Linked DNA regions of Canis lupus familiaris. Each later gene encodes a partner of the first gene's protein in a complex. Links are inferred from orthologs where the notes say so. Each region holds a gene or a part of one and is shown in the gene's direction. Other genes may lie near its edges.

Region 1 (4,094 bases):
GGCTGTATTACTATCTGGCATGAAATGAAACCAGAGATCCCACTCGATTTCCTACTCTTCCTTTACAAGGCACCCCAAAAAGCAGCTGTTAACTTATTTTTAAGAATTTTGGCATGGAACTGTGGTTTTCAGTTTGGAAGGTAGCCCCAGACAAAAGACAACAACGTGTTTCAAGAACGCAGCATGGCATCACCATCATACCAATTACCCAACAGGTACAGAACTGAATTCTGAAGGAAATTAAATTGTCCTGGGACAAACCACACAAACCTGTGTGCCCTACTCAGAGGACAAAAGAAGTCTTTTTTTTTTTTTTTAATCCTTTCATAAAACCTCGGTTCCATAAAGAAGGAAGCACTGGGCTCCACCTATCCATGACCGGGAACAAAACAGAATGGTTGTTGATCAAAATAAAAGTGACAAATCTCTTCCAGGCAAGTTCGGAAATGGGCCTGATCTCTCTAGCCCCATTCATAAATCCTGGAAGACGGGAGAACGAAAAACGGGAGGCGTTCCTGGTTATGCGCAGAAGCAGGAAGACCTCTCCCTCCCTTGTCACGACCCCAAGTATCTCTGTTGGAGGAAACTCCGTGCACTTGGAATCCGGCTCCATTACCGGCACCGTGACTTGATTTATGTTTTCAACCGTGCGCCACAAACCTGTCGGGACCCTCGGAACTATTTTCCAAAATGCAAAGAACTTCGGCACCGGCGTGCCGCAGGTGAGGGAACTTGGGTGCAGAGAGGAGCAATGACTGGCTCAAGTTCGGAACCCACGGCGGAGCTAGAATTCAAACCCGGGTCTAGCAGACTCTCAAAGCCCTCGCCGAGCACCCCGTGTTCTCGAGAGCAGGGGGAGGATTAACGCCGCCCGCCCGGCGCGGCTCCTGGAAACTTGGAGGGGTCAGAGGCGGGCCAACAGCTGAGTGTCCGCGGCGGGGAGAACCACGGCCCCGAGAGGAGGTGGGAGAGCTGCGGCTGCAGCGCCGCCCCAGGCAGGCCCTCAGCCCTCCAAGCCCGACTCCCCGTCCACGCCGCACCTTCCGCCCGCGCGGCCCTGCGCGGGGCCGGGGCCCCGGAGAGCGCATCCCGCCCTCACTCACCTGTCACCCCGGCCGCGCCAGGGCGCACGTGCGGGGCCGGCGAGCGCGGGCGGGGTCGGCACGCGGGTGCCCGGCCTCCCCTCCCCGCACGACGACCCCTCCGGCCGCAGCCCCCGATCGCCAGCCGGCGGGACCCCGGCTTCCGCCTGTGGCGCCCGTGGCAGTCACATGACCAGAGGGGGCGGGAGCAGGGCGGGGCGTCATGTGACCGCTGGCCGGCGACGGCTGATGACGCTCGAGCCCGCGCTCGCGGTTTCAGCGACTGGGGAAGGGAGTTGAGGAAGGAGTTGGGGTCCGGGCGTGGGCGGTCCGGGTGCTGCCAGACCGAGCCGGGGCGCGCCTCCAGGTAAGGCGGAAGCGGGGGGTGGCGAGGGCGAGGGTGGCGACAGGTGTCGCCTCCCCGTGGGGCGCCCCGCGGGTGCCCTGAGCTGGGGTCTGTCCGCCCGGGCTGTGGTCCTGGCACTGCACGCCGAGCACGGAGGCTTGGGCAGGCTGCCCCCTCCCCGAGGCGCCGTCTCTCCATCCTCCCACCCGAGTGGGGGAAAAGTTCACGGTTCCTGCTGCAGATTCGTGTGCTTTGAGCTGTCTTTAAAAGCAGGGCCTCGGACGGGAGGTCTAAATGAGCTCCCTGGGCCTCAGTTTCCTTTTCTATAATTGGTTGTGAGCATCAGCGGTCCTGAGAAAGTAGCGCCAAGGGCATCAGTTTGTGGCGCACTGTGGGGGGCCTCGAAAGGGTGGTTGCTGGGGATCCCCGGGGGGCCCAGCGGTTTAGCGCCGCCTGCAGCCCAGGGTGTGATCCTGGAGACCCGGGGTCGAGTCCCAGGTCGGGCCCCCTGCGTGGGACCCGCTTCTCCCTCTGCCTGGGTCTCTGCCTCTCTCGCTGTGTCTCTCATGAATAAAGAAGTAGAATCTTAAAAAAAAAAAAAAAGAAAAAAAACCAAGAAAGGGCGGTTGCTGTTCCTGTCGTCACTCTCCTCCGTTCTTTGATCGCCTCTTTCGTACGAGGAGCTGTCTTATGTGCTAGCAGAACGTGTCAGGGTTGTGGTTTAAGCTGCTCCCGGGGTGAAGGAGTGGCTGCCGGGTGAACAAATAGCTGTGATGAGTTTTACGAAGAAGTGTGTGTGTGAGGGAGAGGGGGCATAGTAGTAGCATGAGGGAGGGAACGAGCAATTGCTCGTATAGGTAAGAGACGGTTTCATAAGGAAAGACGTACCCTTGCATCTTGAAAAAGGAGCTGTAGCTCTGGCTGGACTTGCATAGGCCCCGTGGTTTGAAGGACGTTTGGCAGAGTGTCTATAAATTGTTAGCTCTGGGTCTACCACCCTGCTGTAAGGAGAGAGGAGACGGGGGAAACAATATTTTCAAGTCAGCTGATAAGTGACCCTGCCTGAAGTGAATCAGACTTGCTGTGGTCTGAATATTTATGTTTTTCTGCGCCCCCCCCCCCGCCCCTTCATATGTTGAAATCCTAATGCCGTTGTGATATAGTATTAGGAAGTGGGGCCTTTGAGAGGTGCTTAGGTGATGAGGGTGGAGCCCTCATGAATGGAATTAGTGCCTTTGTAAAAGGCTCCTGAGAGCTCCCTCCCTTGCACCTTCTACCTTGTGATGACAAAGGGTGAGAGGGCTTGGGGGCTCTGAACGAGGTAGAGGGCCTTCACCGGAATGGGACCCTGCTGGCACCTTGACCTTGGACTTCCCAGCCTCCAGAACTCCAGGCATCAATTTCTGTTGTTTGTAAGCTACCCAATCTGGTATTTTGTTGCAGCAGCCTGAATGGCCTAAGACAAGGCTCGGTATGGGAAGGGAAAATAACATGCGTGGGAAAAACTCAGGAAATATATATATATATATATATATATATATATATATATATATATATATGATTTTTATTTAGTTATGAGAGACACAGAGAGAGGCAGAGACATAGGCAGAGGGAGAAGCAGGCTCCATGCAAGGAGCCTGATGTGAGACTCGATCCCGGGTCTCTAGGATCGTGCCCTGGGCTGAAGGCAGGTGCTAAACCGCTGGGCCACCTGGGTTGCCAGGAAACCTTGCTTTAATCTTTCTTGGAAACTGTAGGTACAGGGAACAAAGAGATTATTGTTACTAGGGAAGGCTTCAAGAGGAGGTTGATTTAAACCAAGGTTTCATGATGGACATTTTGGGCCAGATGATTCTTTAGGGGGGTGGGGTTGTCCTGTGAATTATGTACTTAGCTGTTCTTAGCGGGAGAGAGAGAGAGAAGAGTGTGTCTACTCCATCCATTCTCTTTGCTTCTCAATCCAAATCTTTTTCCTGAAAATACTCCAGAATTACAGAAGGAAGTTTCCCTCGGCTCTCTGCAAGCGTAGAGTTTCATTAGAGTAATGTGAATTTTGCATGCACATAATAAGGATAGCTACTATGTGGGAGACACTCATCACTTATCCTGTATTGTATTATTCCTTATATACGTTGTGTGTTTTGTCCATTCCAGGTGCTATTAAAAAATAGCATAGACGGGTGGCTTAAAGAACAGAAATTTATTTTCAGTTTTGGAGACCAGAAGTCAAGAGATTAGGGTGCCGGCATGGCTGGGTACTGGTAAGAGGCCTCTTTTTCGCTCTCATCAGCCCCCTTCTTACTATGTCCTTATTGGGTGGAGAGAGCGAGCTCAGGTGTCTCTTCCTCTTCTAATAAGGACATTAATTCCTTCCTGAAATTAGGCTCTACCTTCAGGACATCTAAACCTAATTATCTCCCAAAGATCTCGGGTCCAAGTACCACACAATGGGGGTTAGGCTCTCAACAATGATTTTGGGAGGAGATGCAGTTATCTCAGTGTTCTCCATACTTGTTTGATTCTGAGAATCCTCTGCAGCGATTCATAAAAATACAGGTTTCCCCGGAGTGTCCACTAGGGACTCGGGTTAGTAGGTCTGAGATAGCACTTACATATACATCTATATTTTCAATAAGCATTTCAACTGACTCCTAAGATCAGGCAAG
Region 2 (4,198 bases), on another chromosome or scaffold:
ATTCAAAATTCTACAAAACTATGCAGGACAAACAAAACATAGATGGTCTCCTCAGAGCTCTTCTTCTCTCTGACTGCCCCCAAGGCATTTTATAAAGTTCTTTATCAGTAAAGATAACTCACACTTACTGAGGCCTCACTATGTGCCAGGTACTTTTAAGTGCTTTGCATATATTAACTAATTTAATCTTACAGCAATCCTATCAACGGTGTGCTATTATGATCCCTGCTCTATGGATGAGCAAACTGAGGTGGAGAGCTTCAGTATTTTGTCCTGGGTCTCAGATATATTGAGTTTAAGAGGCAGCATCCGAATCCAGATGGTCCAGCTCCCAAGCTTAAGCTCTTTACCACACCAGGGCACCTGGGTGGCTCAGTGGTTGAGCCACCACTTCCGCTCAGGTCATGATCCCAGGGTCCTGGGATCGAGTCACACATCAGGGTCCCTGCAGGGAGCCTGCTTCTCCCTCTGCCTGTGTCTCTGTCTCTCTCTCTGTGTCTCTCATGAATAAATAAATAAAATCTTCATTAAAAAAATAAAAACTATCAGAGGCTACTGCTTTCCTCACTCAGCAGACAGGTAAACTGAGGTCCAGAGAAGTTGAGAAGTTGCTGCCCAAGATCACAGGTGTGCAACGGGCAAGTAAGTAGGGATTTGAAGCTATCATCACAGAGCTAGATGCTTGCACTTTCTGCTTGTTTCCCTGCTCGGCTGCATCCGGCTCCAGCTCCCAGGTCAGGCACTGGGATGCAAGCGTTTGTAAAACGAGTGCTCTCCAATAGCCCATTCACAACTTCATTGGCTTCTCCCAACAATCCCTAGGTAAGACGAGTAGCTGACAGCTAATCAGCACTTCCAGCGTGCGTCATTTCCTTGAAACCCCACGAACACCCTATTATTCCATGGCGACTCTGATCAGCCCCATGTACCAGAAGAAGAAACTGAGGCTGGGCGCAGCAGCTCAGTGACTTGCTCAAGATCTGGCAGAGCCAGGATTCCAGCTCAAGTTGCAGGACGGCGGAGCCCTCGCGGCCGACCCCGAGGCCACGGCGTCGTTTGCACGGATGGGGAAACTGAGGCCCAGGATGGGGCACTGGCTTGTGTCCGCGGAAACCGCGGCTGCTGGGGAGAAGGTCCCGTTGCAGGCGTGCCCCTTCCTCCTCCTAGGTCGCAGGCTGCAGTGGCGGGGCTGGAGGCAGAAGGTGGCCCGCCCGCGGCCCCGCCCGGTGAGGTCCGGAGAGTGGCGGGAGACGCGCGGAAGTCGCCGCCTACCCCCCCGGCTCCTCGGCGCCACGGCAACGGCGAGCAGGAAGTGCGTCACCCGGTGGGCGGGACGAGCGTGCGGCTGCCGCCAATAGGAGAGCCGCGCCCGCGCTGGCCCCGCCCCGGAGGGGGCGTGCCAAGCCCGCCTTTCGGCGTCGGCGGCGGGCGGCGGGGGCTGCGCCCGGGTGCGGCGGAGGGTGAGCCGCGCGCGCGCCCGCGAGGCTGTCGGGGATGGAAGAGGGCCGCGCAGAGAGGCGACGGAGGACGGAAGGTGGGCGTCAGGCCCCGGGGCGGCCCGCGTGGGTGCCGGAGCGCGGCTCCGGGGGCCCCGGGGGCTCCTCGTTGGCTGATGCCGACAGGCCCAGAGACGGGCAGGAAGGCCGGCGGGCTGGGACCTGGTGCCCCCGGCGCCCCCCGGCGCCCCCCGACGCCCCCCGACGCCCCCCGACGCCGGCGGGTCGTAGCGTTGGGTGCTGACCTCGGTTTGACCCCGCTCTTGGGGGACGGAAGCAAAAGACGGATGCCTGCACCGAATACGGAAAATACGGCCTTGGAGGAGCACCTGGCGGTTACCTGCGCCCTGCTCTCGGTCGCGGTCCTGGGACCCGTAGAGAGCCCCGAGGCTAGACGTGTGCAGATGCCCCGGTGTTTCGGATTTTTCCAAAGGGATATGATATATTCCTATTCCCCATGGTCTTTGGGGTCCGGGCTGCATCTTGTCACCACATACATGAATCCGTGCACATTTGCCCCCAAAGGAGGTCAAGAATGGCCCAGAGATAGCCTCACCTTATAGGTCAGATCAGGTCTTCAGGCTTCCAAGGTTGGAGGCCTTTAGATCTTCCTTAGATCGGAGAATTGTAGGTGAGGAGTCCCTGCAGGTGAGGGATCTCGATTTGCTTGTTCCCTGCTATGCCTCGCTTACCTGGGGTGTGTGTGTGTGTGTGTGTGTGTGTGGCGGTGGCGGTGCTAGGGTTCCTGAACTCTGCTTTTGCATCGCCACCCTCCTGCCCATCACTGACTCCGTGCATCTCCTGGTGCCTCCAGTCTTGCCGCATCTGTAAAATGGGGGCATGGATGTGACGATCCTCAGGTTCCCAGGAGGATGGAATGAGAGCGCAGTGAAGCACTCCCCCCTCTGCCTCGCGTGTGGCTCACGTGGTGGTGCTTGAGATCTGCTTATTGCACAGACATTTCTGTTTTTAAATTTTTTTTTTTTTTGGAGGGGTAGGCAGTTCATGGTTAATCTCTACCACCCAGTCCATCTTCAGACAATCGCCTTCTGTGTGTAAACAGGCCTATCTGTACTGTGTCCCTCTCCTTTTTTTTTTTTTTTTTCCCCAAGATTATTGACTTCTGTGCTGTTCCAGAGTTGGTCCTCCCCACTGCCAAGATTTTTAATTTATTTATTCAGGAGAGACACAGATAGAAAGAGAGGCAGAGGGCAGCCCCGATGGCTCAGCGGTTTAGCACGGCCTTTGGCCCAGGGCGTGATCCTGGAGACCTCAGATCGAGTCCCACATCGAGCTCCTTGCATGGAGCCTGCTTCTCCCTCTGCTTGTATCTCTGCCTCTCTCTCTCTCTATGTCTCTCATGCATAAATAAATAAAATCTTAAAGAAAGAGGCAGAGACACAGGCAGAGGGAGAAGCAGGCTTCCCAAGGGGACCCTGATGCAGGACTCGATCCTGGGACCCCACGATCACACCCTGAGCCAAAGGCAGACACACTCAACCAGTGAGCTACCCAGGCGTCCCTAGAGTTGGTCCTTTTTAGCATTTATTTTGGGTGTTACGTAACATATTTACATCATTTCTTCTTTTTTTAATCAAGATATGTAACATACCTATAAAAATGTTTGCAAATGTAAGTTCGAAGAATAAAAATAAGGAACACACGTATACTCCCCATCAGGTTAAGAAATAGAACATTATCTTATGCTGAAAGCTCCCGCTGAATCCTTTCTTCCCCTCACTAAAGATGAGCACTGCCCGGAGTACTGTTACTCATTCCCTTGTTTTTCCTTTATGGGTTTTACTATGTATCTGTAAAATGACTACTGTATATGGTTTCGTTAGGTTTTGAATTTGATGGAGAATCCTCACATATAATTAGTGTGACTTTACTTTTGCACATAACATTCCCGTATGTGAGATGCATCCACGGTGATTTGAGTAGCTCTATGTCACCTTCATTGCTTCGTCGCTATTTGGAATTCCATGGTTTGAATATAAATGCTTTGCTAGGCATTTTTCAACTGGTTGCCATTGCTACTGTTGCCAGATTTTTGCTACCACATGGTGCTTTTATACACATATTTCCTTGGGCAGATGTGGGTAGTTTCTGTAAGTGAAAAATCAAATACCGCATTTCTGGGCATACCCAAATTCGCCAGTAAAATCAAATTGTCTGACACGGTTCATAAGAGTTTACACTCCACCAGCAGTGGATGAGTTTTAGCCCAGGCCATTCTTCAGAATCTTTGCCTTATCTGGTGATGAGTAAGAGATTTGTCACTGTAGTTTGGATACTCGTTAGCCTGATGACCTCAAGACTGTGTATCTTTTAATATATTTATTAATCATTTGTATATCTTCTTTGGAAATTTCAGTTGCTTATTTTTTTTTTTTTGCAGTTGTCTTCCTCTAACTGATTTGTAGGAGTTCATTACATATTCTGAGTATGAATCTTTCATGGGTTCAGCATGTTTCAGATGCTTCCCAGTTTGTAGCTTGTCTTCTCTCTCTCTCTCTCCTTCCCCCCCGCTCAAGTATTTTCAGTGAACAGAGGTTCTTAATTTTAAAAGTTGAATTTACCTGTATATTCCTTTATGGTTTGTACTTTTTGCGTTATTATTATTATTATATCTTTTAAAGAAACCCCTGCCTTTGGCTTATAAAAGCTATCTGCCTATATTGTTGTCCAAAAGTTTTGTA
Region 3 (4,084 bases), on another chromosome or scaffold:
GGAAGCGCCAGGCACCTGGGGAAGGAGCACTGGTCCTCGAGTCAGGAATGAGGGTTCTACTGCACCTGTTTTTCAAACGGCTTCCCCGGTTCCAGGCTTGACCCTCTCCAAACAGTAATGAGGGATTATTTAAAAACTTGAATCAGATCACGTCTCTCTCTTGCTTACAACCATCCAATGGGCTTCCCAAAGCCTTAAAAATAAAAATCAGCTCAGCTATGGTGGGCAAGGCTCTGGTCAGGTGCAATGGTCAGGTGATCACTCACCGCAGCCACACAGGCCTTCCCTTTGTTCCTCAGAAGTCCCCCTGTTCCCACTCCAGAGCTTTTGTCCTTGCCTGGAATACTTTTTTTTTTTTTTTTTTGTTAGCATTTAGGGTTCCACTCAAACACCACCTCTTCTGACAACCTTCTGTGCCTCCCCCCATCACCTGAGTTCTGTTTCACAGCACCTAGCACAGCCTGGAATGATCCTGAACCTGCTCCACTGGTTCTTTTTCTGTCTCCCACACCGGGCAGGGGCGCAGGCAGGCATCCCTGGCTGGGGTCCCTCAGAGCCGCAGCTCCGGCCTCTGGCGGGTTAGACATTAGCGAGACGCTGAGTGGTCGAGGCGCTGCGGCAGCTTCGGTGCGCCTCCCGTTCAACGAGGTTAACCAGCGGCAGGTGCGCAGGTTTAAGTGGAAGCGCGACCCACTGAAGCCGCTGCGCTCGAGCTCCTGGGTTTCTAGAAACCTCGGGGCAGGAAGCCTTAAAAGGGAAGGAGGGAGCGAGGGGGCGGAGTGTCTGCTTGCAGGGAGGCCGTTTGCAAGTTGGAGCGCCCCGGGTACCTGGCACCACGCGGCTCAGGGGAGACGCGGGCGCAGGGCCACCGCTGGAGTTTTCTTTTTTGGACACGGGGACCTGCATGAGGCCCAGCGGGGAGCAGGGTGAGACGCGGAAGAGCCCGAAGCAGGCGAGTCCGGGTGCGCGCGGGCAGGGTCCGCCCGCGGCCGCCGAACGTCTCCCTCCGTCCTCTTCGCGGGCCGGCTTCCTCCGAGCGCTCAGAGGGCTTTCCGAGTACTAAATGCAACTGACATCTTTTTCTGAGCCAAAAAGCCCGAACCGTGAAAGATGCACGAGCGCTTCGGGGGCACGGCCGGGTAGCCGCGCGCTGGGGGGGCCGCCGCCCCGGCCCGCGTCCTCGCTGCCGCCCGCCCCCGAGGCCCGGCGCCGAGGGGCGGGGCCGCCCGCTGACGCCGCCGGGCCGGACTGCGCAGGCGCGGGGCGGGCTCGCGGGCCGGGCAGTTCGCGCGGGAGCCGGGCGCCGGGGCGCCGGGGCCGCAGGTCGGTGGGAACGGAAGCGCCCGCGGGGCGGCGGGGACGCCGGGATGGCGACTCCGAGTAGGAAGTCGTCGGCCCCAGGCACCGTGGCCTCCAAGAGAGCTCTCCCGAGGGATCCCTCGTCGGAGGTCCCGAGCAAGAGGAAGAGCTCGGCCCCGCCGGCGCCGCCGCCGCCGCCGCCGCTGCCATCGTCCAGGCCTTTCGTGGAGGGCTCTATCGTCCGCATCGTGATGGAGAACTTCTTGTGAGTGTCCGGAGGCCGCGGCGCCGCGGGGCGGGGCGGGGCGCGGCGGGGAGGCGAGCGGGCCCGCGGGCGGTCGGCGTGCGTCTGCTGCGATGCGGGGTGGGCTTTTTTTTTTTTTTTTTTTTTTTTTTTATTCATTCAGCCAGCGTTTTCTGAAGGCGTCACAGGGCGGGCAGCGGACGGGGTAGGGCCCGGATTTGTGTCGGCCGGAGTCACGGCCTACGGAGGGAGGACGTGATGTGCGAATCCCAGAAGTAGGGGCGCTGGCAACTCCGAGGAAGCCACGGTGAAATCGGAGCAGCGGTGATGCTGTGGCCGACTCGGGAGGAGTCAGCGGTCGCCAGGTGGACAAGATGGTGAAGGTGGTTCCTCCTGGAGGTGGAAACGTACAAGCAAACTAATAAGCCTCGCTCTGGATTGTTGGGCCTCCTAGCAGACCCCGGAGCCCTCAGCATCCAGCTCCCCCGCCCCCCCCCCCCCCCGCGCCCCGTTCCTTTTCTTTCTCTCCAGGCAACTAAGAATCGTAATAATCGTTTGAGAATTTAGTAAATATCTTTTAACACAGATACTGTGTATCTCTCTAGCACCTTACAGTTTTGTTGGTCAAGGTCTTCCCACTCCCCCCCCCCCCCCCACTATTTTTTTTTTTAAAGCTTGCACATGGGGGCTTAGGATAACAGAATTGTAACTACCAACGTTGTGGTTCCCGCGCCCCCGTATCTATCATGTGCCAGGTACAGAAGTAGATGCTTTATTTACATAATACTCTGATTCTCTCCTAACAACTCTTCATCTTCACTGATGAGATGATGTCAGGTTAATTTACCCATGTTATACTGCCAATAAGTAGCTGAATTGCTATATGAATCTAGATCAGGAAAGATAATCAAATGAGTCACCTACCATGATAATGCGTGTATGTATTTATAGATATGTATGTATCAGGGTGCTGTGTGGGCACAGAGGCTGAAGTGGTTAATTTTATTCATAACTGTGAGAAAGGGCTTTGTACAGGAGGTTATGAAAGTTTTAAGGGAAGAGCACTGTTTCAGAAGAAACCGCCTGAAACAGCTGTATTTAGGAAGTTCTAGTATGGTTAGCACGTAGGGTGTGAGTGAGAGTGACGATGTGGACAAAGATGATACTAACGAGGTAGGCAGCTCTTGAGGATCTTTGTTCTCTATGCTGAGGAATTCCAATAATCCTGTTGGCAACCTGGGAATGGCATGTGATTTATATTACTCTGGAAGCAGTGTGAAAGATGATTTAGAAAGGGTCCAAGATCGGAAGCAAAGAAGACTTTTACAACGGTAAGACATGATTGGTTTTCGAACCTAGGAGTAACAGTGGGAAGTAGTGGAAAAGAGATTTGGCAGGATCTGGCTACAGATCGGGAGGCCTGAGGGTAAGAGAGTAAGACAGTATTTTTCTCAAGTCTCTGTCTTGGCTCTTGGTCGGATGTGGCCCTTTTCAGAAGACGGAGCAATTTGGGGAGGATAATGATAATTACTTTCTGGATCCTGTGATTTGAAGTTTCCCATGGGGGTGTCTAAAAAAGGTCTTCCATGAGCAGTAATTTTAGGGTCAGGAAAATGCAAACAGGTGAGAGATTTGGAAGTCATGCATAGAGGTGATTCTTGAAGTTTCAGAAACAGTTGAGGTTGCCCAAAAGGAAATATAAATTGGAATAGAAGGCCAACTGTGGTGTCCTGGAGGAATGCCAACACGTAAGAGTGAGCAGAGGAGTTGTTTGGATGGAGAAGGGAACTGTTCAGGGAGGTAAGAGGAGAATCGTGGGAGAGAGTATTCTCTCAGGAGCCTAGGGGGAAAAGTGTTTCAAAAATATCATCTGCTACTTTGGCATCTGATACAAGATAGTGGAACTGAAAAGAGCTCACTGCATTCAGCAATTAGGAATTCTCTTACCCTTTGAAGCCAGGTAAGCGCAACATTTTGCAAGTCCTAGAAGAATGAATGAATGTGAGGAAATAAAGCTTGGATATGAAGAGGAGAAGGAAGAGGTGGCTGCAAAGTGCAGAGCTAGCCTGTTGATTCTCACAATGAGAGGATGCTGAGTTTTAAGAATGAGGGAGGAAGGGTGGGCCTGGAGAACCAAAGTGGCCCGAAAGAGTACTTCCTAGAAGAATTCCTAGGAGCAAACCCAAGTCCAGTGGGGCTTGGGAATGGAGGGAGAGATTTCTGCTGATGGAAAATAGCATGTGCGAAGGCTTGGGAGAATAAATAAGTGTAAGATAGTCAGGAAGAAGTTCATGGTAGGTAGAATTTAGAGGTCAGATTAGAGAACAAGGAAGGAGATAGAAAGTAAGAAAAGATGATGCAAGAGTCCTATTTTTTCTTTTTCTTTCTTTTTTCTTAATGAGGGATCTCAGAATTGCTTGTCTACCAGCATGACTTGGTGACCGGATGATGGGGGGCAGAGGTGAAGAAGATGGTAGAATCAAAGATGATGAGAAACTTAACGTCTCGGTTTCTGATTTGGGCAGTGGGATGAATGATGGT
Region 4 (3,368 bases), on another chromosome or scaffold:
CCAACAAAATATATTCTTTATTGTTACATATACTTTGCTGCTTATGAAACCATTGAGCTAAGCCTTTTCTCCCAACTGTATGTGAATTCCCAGTGAACTAGTGGGTGAGTTTTCCAAAGTAGTCACTTGATTTGCAGCATTCACTTTCATACCCTTACATCAGATTTTTTTTTTTTTTAAGATTTTATTTATTTTTATTCATGAGAGACAGAGAGAGAGAGGCAGAGACACAGGCAGAGGGAGAAGCAGGCTCCATGCAGGGGGCCTGACGCGGGACTTATCCTGGTCTCCAGGATCACGCTCTGGATCGAAGGCGGCGCTAAACCTCTGAGCCACCGGCGCTGCCCCAGATTGTGTTTAAAATCTTAATAGCTTTGCTCACCTTTCAGGGCTTAGCTTTCTCTCCACAGTCTGTGGCTTTTAGCCTTTGGTAAGCTTCCAAATAAACCACTCTTTGCAGAGACTGTACCCACTTTATTCTTCCACCCTTGGGTGGTGGAGACCCAAAGGTCACTTGGGTAATGCCTGACATTCCCCCACCTTTTGCCCCAGCGCCAGCTCAGCCACTCACTTGCCTGGCAGCTGCCTCCTCTGTTGGTTGAAAGGGGTCTGGCTTCTGAGGGCCAGTGTAGGGTAATTAACCCAATATGCAATTGTATAATGAATAAATTCCAAACCTTGCAAATGAACCCTGAGAATTCGGCCTATTTGTAGTGGACTTTCTGCAGTTCACTATGCTTAGCATTATGGGCAGTTGACAGCAAAGCCAGATTTAGTTTTTAAAAACACACAAAAAAGAAAACTCTAAAGACCCTACCATTTAATCAGAGTAAAAACGAAAACCATAGGTTGACCTAACTGCAGTATGTGACAGCAGGTATTTCAAAGCGCAGGACCTTTAGTCCCTCCCCCTCCCCCTCAGTTTTAAAATGTCGTAAGATTTTCAGGTATTTCTTTGAAAGCTAGAGGACACTGTCGGTAATTGCTAAAATGAAGCTGTCGTTTGAGCGGGTATTGTTCGCCTGCGGAGGGGGGCCCATTATTGCTCGCGTTCTACGCTGCCCGCTGCCCGCTGCCCGCTGCCTGCTGCCTGCCGCGGCGGTCGGCTGGTCGGAAACCACCGACGGGTCTGGGCTCCCGGCGCCGAGGGGCGGGGCGGGCTGGGGGCGGGGCGCGGGGCCTGGCCAGTGCGCATGGGCGGACCTCCTCTGCTCCCACCGACCCCCTTCGATTTCCGCTCTTGTCGCAAACGTCGCGAGGGCCGTTAGCGGAGTGTCAGTGAGTGCGCCGGCCCCGAAATGTCTGAGGAACAAGGCTCCCGCGCCGGAGCGGTAGAGGAAGGAGAGGCGCCCCCGGGGACCCTCGCTGCTACTGTGCACTCGGTGAAACAGGCGGACGACGGCGAGGAGCCCGTGAAAGTGGAAGTGGCTGATGGCTGCTCTGACGACCTCAGCTGTGGGGAGGCCGACATAGACCCCAGCCTCCTAGAGCTTGCGGATGACGAGGAGAAATGCCGGAAGATCCGCAAGCAGTACCGGCAGCTCATCTATAACGTCCAGCAGAACCGTGATGACATCGTGAACACTGCCAGCGACTCGTTAACCGAGGCTCTTGAAGAAGCCAATGTCCTATTTGATGGAGTGAGCCGGACAAGAGAAGCAGCTCTCGATGCCCAGTTTCTTGTTTTGGCTTCTGATTTGGGTAAAGAAAAAGCAAAGCAACTAAACTCTGATATGAGCTTTTTTAATCAAGTAGCGTTTTGTGACTTTCTGTTTATATTTGTGGGTCTGAACTGGATGGAAGATGATGAACCTGGTGAACTGAGTGGCTGTGATGATAATATAGCTCTTTCCTTCTGGGAGACAGTACAGAAGGAAGCAACATCCTGGATATTGCAAGCTGAAACATTTCACTTTATTTTCGGTTCATTCAAGTCCAAACCTTCTGCACCAAAGCCCCGACTTGAACACCACAAAAAAGCTCACAAAGTAGAAGAAAGTGGGGATATGCCTACAAAGCTGAGGAAGTTGGACCTGAGTAACAATCAAGAAGCAACAGAAAAAGAAGTAGAGAGAATCTTGGGATTGTTGCAAACGTACTTTCGAAAGTATCCTGATACTCCTGTGTCCTATTTTGAGTTTGTGATTGATCCAAACTCTTTTTCTCGTACTGTGGAGAATATATTTTATGTTTCTTTCATTATAAGGGATGGTTTTGCGAGAATAAGGCTTGACCAAGACAGGCTGCCAATATTAGAGCCGATTAATATTAACCAAGTGGATGAGGGAAATGATCCCAGTTCTCATGGCAGGAAACAAGGAGTTATATCTTTAAGTTTACAGGACTGGAAAAATATTGTGGCAACTTTTGAAATTTCAGAGGCTATGATCACAAACTCATACTAGGGATTTTTGTTCTTAGTATAGGCTGCATTATCTGGCTTTCCTAATGTACTCAAAATGGAGAGTAAAATCCAAGCAGAAGCACATACTGTATTTCATGTAGAATGAAAAAGTGTTTTCAGAAACACCAGAAATTGTTTTACTGTGCAGTGTATTTTTTTTGGTACTTTATAAGGTTGTCATGATCTTCTGTTATTAAAAAATATTCACTTGCATGTTTGCAAGATTTTTTGAATGCCCTTTAAGTCTTTATCAATAAAAATCAGTTCTGAATTTCATAAGTTAAAAGGCATTTGATAATTTACCAAAAATATCAATTTTATGATGCTCTATGATACTGCCTTGCTTCCTCCGTTAGAGGGAACAAAAAGAATCCCATATGGGGTTCCTGACAAGGTTAGGGGAAGCTGTAAAAAAAAAAAAAAAAGGAAAAAAGTTCAAGGAAGACTTTATCCTTAGGGCAGTGAATAAGCAATGTTAATGCTGCAGAAAAAACTAGATGCCAAGCTTCATTGCAAGGAGGATTCAGTATGATTAATGAGTGGATATCTATATTCTAAAGAATTTTCCTGTGATGAGACTTACCTACTGTAGAGTCATTCTACTTTTGTCAGGTGAGGCATCAAGTGTATGCTGAAAGGTGAGCAGCGATTAGTCAAAGATAGGAAGGGTATTCTAGGCAGGGGAATACAGAGGCCAAATACATGGAATTACAAGAAATAATGGCACCAGAGAGAGAATCAGGAGATTTGGTGTTCGATTTGAATGTTAAACTGAGCAAAAATTGAAATACCTTGTTATTAGTATCCTCAGAGGTAGAAGGTATTTTTTTTTTTCAAACACAAACCAGTTATAGGCTTTATCTACTTGGTTAATTTCTTCTCTAGTCTCTAATCTCCAAACCCTTGGTAATTTCTGCTAGTGCACAGAGTGACCTTCAGAATCAGTGGTGTTTCATTATGTTAC
Region 5 (4,247 bases), on another chromosome or scaffold:
AATATGTAGAATGGAATGCATACATTTCCTGAACATAAAATCCCACCTGTCTCAGAGTCTTTGGGAGAAAATTTAGAATATTTTAGTTTGAGGACCGATTGTCAGCACAAGCTGCCTTGGTGCAGCTCTTCAGAAGGGACAGTTCACTAGGGGGAAAGACGGTTTTTGCCGTTAATTCGTGCTTTTGTTTTCTGTCTTCACCTGGAGTGGGACCGCCTGCTCCCCCGGGGGAGGCCCCAGAGCCACACCGCCTGTCTGGAGCCCGGCGCCCCTCCTGCTCCGCCAACACACGCGCTCACTGCGTGCGTCGCTGGGGTGCGGGGTGGGGTGGGGTGGGTCCCAGGGAGCCTAGACGCCCCGGGAAGACGAGGCCCGGTGCGGGGGGGAGGGGGGGCCGGGGAGCCCAGGACACCCCGGGGAGACGCAGGCCTGGTGCGGGGCGGGGAGTCCAGGACACCCCGGGGAAGACGCAGGTCTGGTGTGTGGGGGGGGACGGGGAGTCCAGGACACCCCGGGGAGACGCAGGCCCGGGGCGGGGGGGGAGCCCAGGACACCCCGGGGAGACGCAGGCCTTGTGGGGGGGTCTCGGGGAGCCCAGGACACCCCGGGGAGACGCAGGCCCGGGGCGGGGGGGGAGCCCAGGACACCCCGGGGAGACGCAGGCCTTGTGGGGGGGTCTCGGGGAGCCCAGGACACCCCGGGGAGACGCAGGCCCGGGGCGGGGGGGGGGCCCAGGACACCCCGGGGAGACGCAGGCCTTGTGGGGGGGTCTCGGGGAGCCCAGGACACCCCGGGGAGACGCAGGCCCGGGGCGGGGGGGGGGCCCAGGACACCCCGGGGAGACGCAGGCCTTGTGGGGGGGGTCTCGGGGAGCCCAGGACACCCCGGGGAGACGCAGGCCCGGTGGGGGGGGGGCGGGGAGCCCAGGACACCCCGGGGAGACGCAGGCCTGGTGTGGGGGGGTCCCGGGGAGCCCAGGACACCCCGGGAAGACGCAGGCCTGGTGTGGGGGGGTCCCGGGGAGCCCAGGACACCCCGGGAAGACGCAGGTCTGGTGTGTGTGGGGGGGCGGGGAGCGCAGGACACCCCGGGGAGACGCAGGCCTGGTGTGGGGGGGGCCGGGGAGCCCAGGACACCCCGGGGAGATGCAGGTCTGGTGTGGGGGGGGGGCCGGGGAGCCCAGGACACCCCGGGGAGACGCAGGTCTGGTGTGGGGGGGGGCCGGGGAGCCCAGGACACCCCGGGGAGACGCAGGCCCGGGGCGGTGTCCCCCCCCTTCCCCCCCCCCCCCCGGCTGCCCCTCCCGCAGGGCGCCCCCGCCGGCCTCCCGCCAGAGGCGTCGCTGTGCGCTGGCGCCGGCCCGGGAGCCGCGTTCCGCGGGGAGCGGGCGCTCGCGCCGAGCCGGGCTTTCAGTTTCTGGCGCGAACTTCCGCCGCTCCGAAGTTGCTCGGCGCATCGGCGCGATGTCCGGGGACAGCAGCGGCCGCCGGCCCGAGGGCCAGGGCCGGGGCCGGGGCCGCGACCCGCACCGGGACCGCACCCGCTCCCGCTCCCGCTCGCGGTCCCCGCTGTCGCCCGTGTCCCGCCGCGGCGCCGCGCCCGAGCGCAGGGAGGCCCCGGAGCGCCCGAGCCTGGAGGACACGGAGCCGTCGGATTCCGGGGACGAGATGGTGGACCCCGCGAGCCTGGAGGCGGAGACCGACCACGGCCTGTGCCGCCAGATCCGCCATCAGTACCGGGCGCTCATCAACTCGGTCCAACGTAAGGCGGGGCGCGGGCGGGCGGGCAGGCGGGGACGGAGGCAGGCCCGGCCGCGCTCGGTCGGCTCGCGGGGTGGCCCCGTGCGGTGGCGGGCGGCGGGCTGCGCGACCTGGGCGGGGTGGGGGACGGGGACGGGGGACGGGGACTGTCGGAAACGCCGGCGCTCGGGCCGCACCGCACCGCACCGCACCCGCCCACTCCGAAACCCGGGGCCGCCCCGCCCGCCCTCTCGGGGCCTCCGGGCTCGCAAAGTTTGGGAGCCGCCGTTAGGAGCGCCCCTCCGCGGCTGCACGAGCCCGGGAGCCCCTGGGGTGAAGGCGATAGGCGGCCGGGCTCCTCTGAGGTTGCTGCGGCTTAGAGGTACGGCCAGCCCCCCCCCCCCCCCCCACCCCGGGCTCGAAGGATGTGCCGCGCTGGGAAGTGGACCCCGCCCCGCCACCCCGCCCCGCCGGGGACCCGGGGACCCGGGCTTGGCCGCGCTGCTGCAGGTGATCACGCCGGCAAGGACCTGTTCGCGCGTGATGAGCACGTTTCCCCAAACCTTGTTTTTTGTTTGTTTGGTTTTTTGTTTTTTTTTTTTTGCATAGAAAACCGGGAGGATATACTGAATGCCAGCGACAAATTAACAGAGGTCCTTGAAGAGGCCAACACTCTGTTTAATGGAGGTAATTCGTCACTTCATATATGGGAGCTCTTTATTATAAGTTTTAGGATGATTTTAGTTAGTTTTATATGACAGCCAAGTTATTGACACCGGACATTTCTCCCATAATAGAGTAGTGCCTTACTAGCGTTGGGAGCTTTCTCATTGTAGCGCTAATACTGTCTTCATTGCCCTTGGCCATCCCCTGAGGCGTCTCCCGAAGGCGTTAGGAGAAATTCCGGGGGGTACAGCCAGCAGCCTGTTTCAGCAAGCCCCCCAGGTGATCCTGTTGCATCCTCAAGGTTGAGAGCTTTGCATGTTTATCTTTCTGTCGCATCCCCTGCTGTATCCCCGGGATACATTTGTTGAATAGGAGAAGCAAAGAAAAAAGCTGCCCCCTCCCTCCCACATCCTGTTTCCTTTCCCATCCTCTTCCCAGTACAGGCCCACCTATAAGGGGGGCCGGGGGCAGGAGTCTACTAGTGGACCTGTGGGTTTCTACTGGGGCAAGAAAGAGAAATCTCAGAGCACTGAGCTCCAGACCATGGGGAAGGGGAAGTTAAAAAAAAAAAAAAAATCTTGGTTTGAGGGGCACCTGCGTGGCTCATCAGTTAAGCATCTGCTTTTGGCTCAGGTCATGATCCCAGGGTCCTGTCCTCGAGTCCCACATCAGGCTCCCTGCTCAGAGGGGTCTGCTTCTCCCTCTGTCCCTCCCCCTGCTCATGCATGCTCTCTCTTGCTCTCTCTCTCTCTCAAAATCTCAAGAAGAAACAATCTTGGTTTGAATTAAAAGTGTTTGGGACGCCAGCAGTCTATTTGATGACAGGACAGGTCAGGTCCCCCCTGATGTGAGCAGTGGGTCCCAGAGCCCTAGGGCAAGTCCCTGGACCCCTTTTCCAGGCCTGGACGTTCTGTGGCAGCAGAAAGACAGAATACAGACGAAGGGGCAGCGAGGAAGAGTCCGCAGAACGTGCACTGCCGACACCACAATTCTTCGCGTTCCTGGGACCAGGGTCCTTATTTCTAGTAATGTCCTAGTATGACTTAATGGCTTACCTGTTGCCCACCTTTTAATGTTTTTCTGTCTGCACGTTCTCAGATGAGTGTCTTTCTAGTTCTGGTCACAGCCTCCTGACTACTCCCCAGCTGGGTCTCCCAGGCTTGCTAAATCTCACTTCCAGAAGTGGGCATTTCCCTTCCACCAGGTTAAATCCCTCCTCTACCGTCCTTAGCTTTATCTTCTCTCCACTCCTGGTCCCCGGGTCAGTCTCCTCAAGGTTCCTCTTGACTCCTTCACTCCTTTGCTGATTTACTGTGCATCTTACTAGTTCTTGAGCCACACACCGCCTCCCCTTGGCTGATTCTGCTGTGCTGCGTGGGTCACCTCTTTCAGGCAGAGTTACTCAGCCGGGCTCTGGGAGTCTCCCAGCAAACACAGAATTCTAGATCCTTGGCATTCATTGTTTTAACTCAGTGGAGGCCTCCCAGCCACCTGTGACTGGGAAGTCTGTGTTTTCTGGGCGGAGCTGCGAGGCCAGTGGGCAAGGCCACGGGGAGCCCAGGAACGAGCTGCCAGCCTCTGTCTGCTGCCCTCTCTCACCCATGGTCACTTCCATAGCAGTGCTCCTGAAATAAAATGGGAGAAAAATGATGTATGTCAACAAAACCCGGAGTCAGCAAGTTCAGCAGCCCAAGGTGTGTTCGGAAAGTGGGGGACCCAAATGAAAAGGCCCCCAGGAGCCAGCCAGGCACAGATGTTTCTGTATTTGAGCTTTGCCGCTTTCCCCTCTAATTGGCTCCCTTTCCAGGTGTTTCCAGAGCACTTTACTCTCGCTGGCCCATC

What was found. Proteins that work in one complex are often made in the same cells at the same time.
Region 2: NSMCE2 (region 1) and NSMCE1 share a complex: the UniProt entries of both Homo sapiens proteins name them as parts of the SMC5-SMC6 complex. The link is inferred for Canis lupus familiaris from reciprocal best matches to the Homo sapiens genes NSMCE2 and NSMCE1.
Region 3: NSMCE2 (region 1) and SMC5 share a complex: the UniProt entries of both Homo sapiens proteins name them as parts of the SMC5-SMC6 complex. The link is inferred for Canis lupus familiaris from reciprocal best matches to the Homo sapiens genes NSMCE2 and SMC5.
Region 4: NSMCE2 (region 1) and EID3 share a complex: the UniProt entries of both Homo sapiens proteins name them as parts of the SMC5-SMC6 complex. The link is inferred for Canis lupus familiaris from reciprocal best matches to the Homo sapiens genes NSMCE2 and EID3.
Region 5: NSMCE2 (region 1) and NSMCE4A share a complex: the UniProt entries of both Homo sapiens proteins name them as parts of the SMC5-SMC6 complex. The link is inferred for Canis lupus familiaris from reciprocal best matches to the Homo sapiens genes NSMCE2 and NSMCE4A.

Annotation. Positions count from the first base shown.
Region 1 is NC_049234.1:23,491,666-23,495,759, forward strand, and holds the start of NSMCE2 (E3 SUMO-protein ligase NSE2), read left to right. Parts: upstream 1-1,294; 5' UTR 1,295-1,449; intron 1,450-4,094. UniProt on the Homo sapiens protein: E3 SUMO-protein ligase component of the SMC5-SMC6 complex, a complex involved in DNA double-strand break repair by homologous recombination. Is not be required for the stability of the complex.
Region 2 is NC_049227.1:19,529,812-19,534,009, forward strand, and holds the start of NSMCE1 (non-structural maintenance of chromosomes element 1 homolog), read left to right. Parts: upstream 1-1,398; 5' UTR 1,399-1,494; coding exon 1,495-1,534; intron 1,535-4,198. UniProt on the Homo sapiens protein: RING-type zinc finger-containing E3 ubiquitin ligase that assembles with melanoma antigen protein (MAGE) to catalyze the direct transfer of ubiquitin from E2 ubiquitin-conjugating enzyme to a specific substrate.
Region 3 is NC_049222.1:87,952,820-87,956,903, reverse strand, and holds the start of SMC5 (structural maintenance of chromosomes protein 5), read left to right. Parts: upstream 1-1,284; 5' UTR 1,285-1,367; coding exon 1,368-1,564; intron 1,565-2,169; exon of another isoform or gene 2,170-2,298; intron 2,299-4,084. UniProt on the Homo sapiens protein: Core component of the SMC5-SMC6 complex, a complex involved in repair of DNA double-strand breaks by homologous recombination.
Region 4 is NC_049231.1:35,011,942-35,015,309, reverse strand, and holds EID3 (EP300-interacting inhibitor of differentiation 3), read left to right. Parts: upstream 1-1,181; 5' UTR 1,182-1,298; coding exon 1,299-2,405; 3' UTR 2,406-2,868; downstream 2,869-3,368. UniProt on the Homo sapiens protein: Tissue-specific component of the SMC5-SMC6 complex, a complex involved in repair of DNA double-strand breaks by homologous recombination.
Region 5 is NC_049249.1:32,015,183-32,019,429, reverse strand, and holds the start of NSMCE4A (non-structural maintenance of chromosomes element 4 homolog A), read left to right. Parts: upstream 1-1,447; 5' UTR 1,448-1,463; coding exon 1,464-1,761; intron 1,762-2,348; coding exon 2,349-2,426; intron 2,427-4,247. UniProt on the Homo sapiens protein: Component of the SMC5-SMC6 complex, a complex involved in DNA double-strand breaks by homologous recombination. The complex may promote sister chromatid homologous recombination by recruiting the SMC1-SMC3 cohesin complex to double-strand breaks.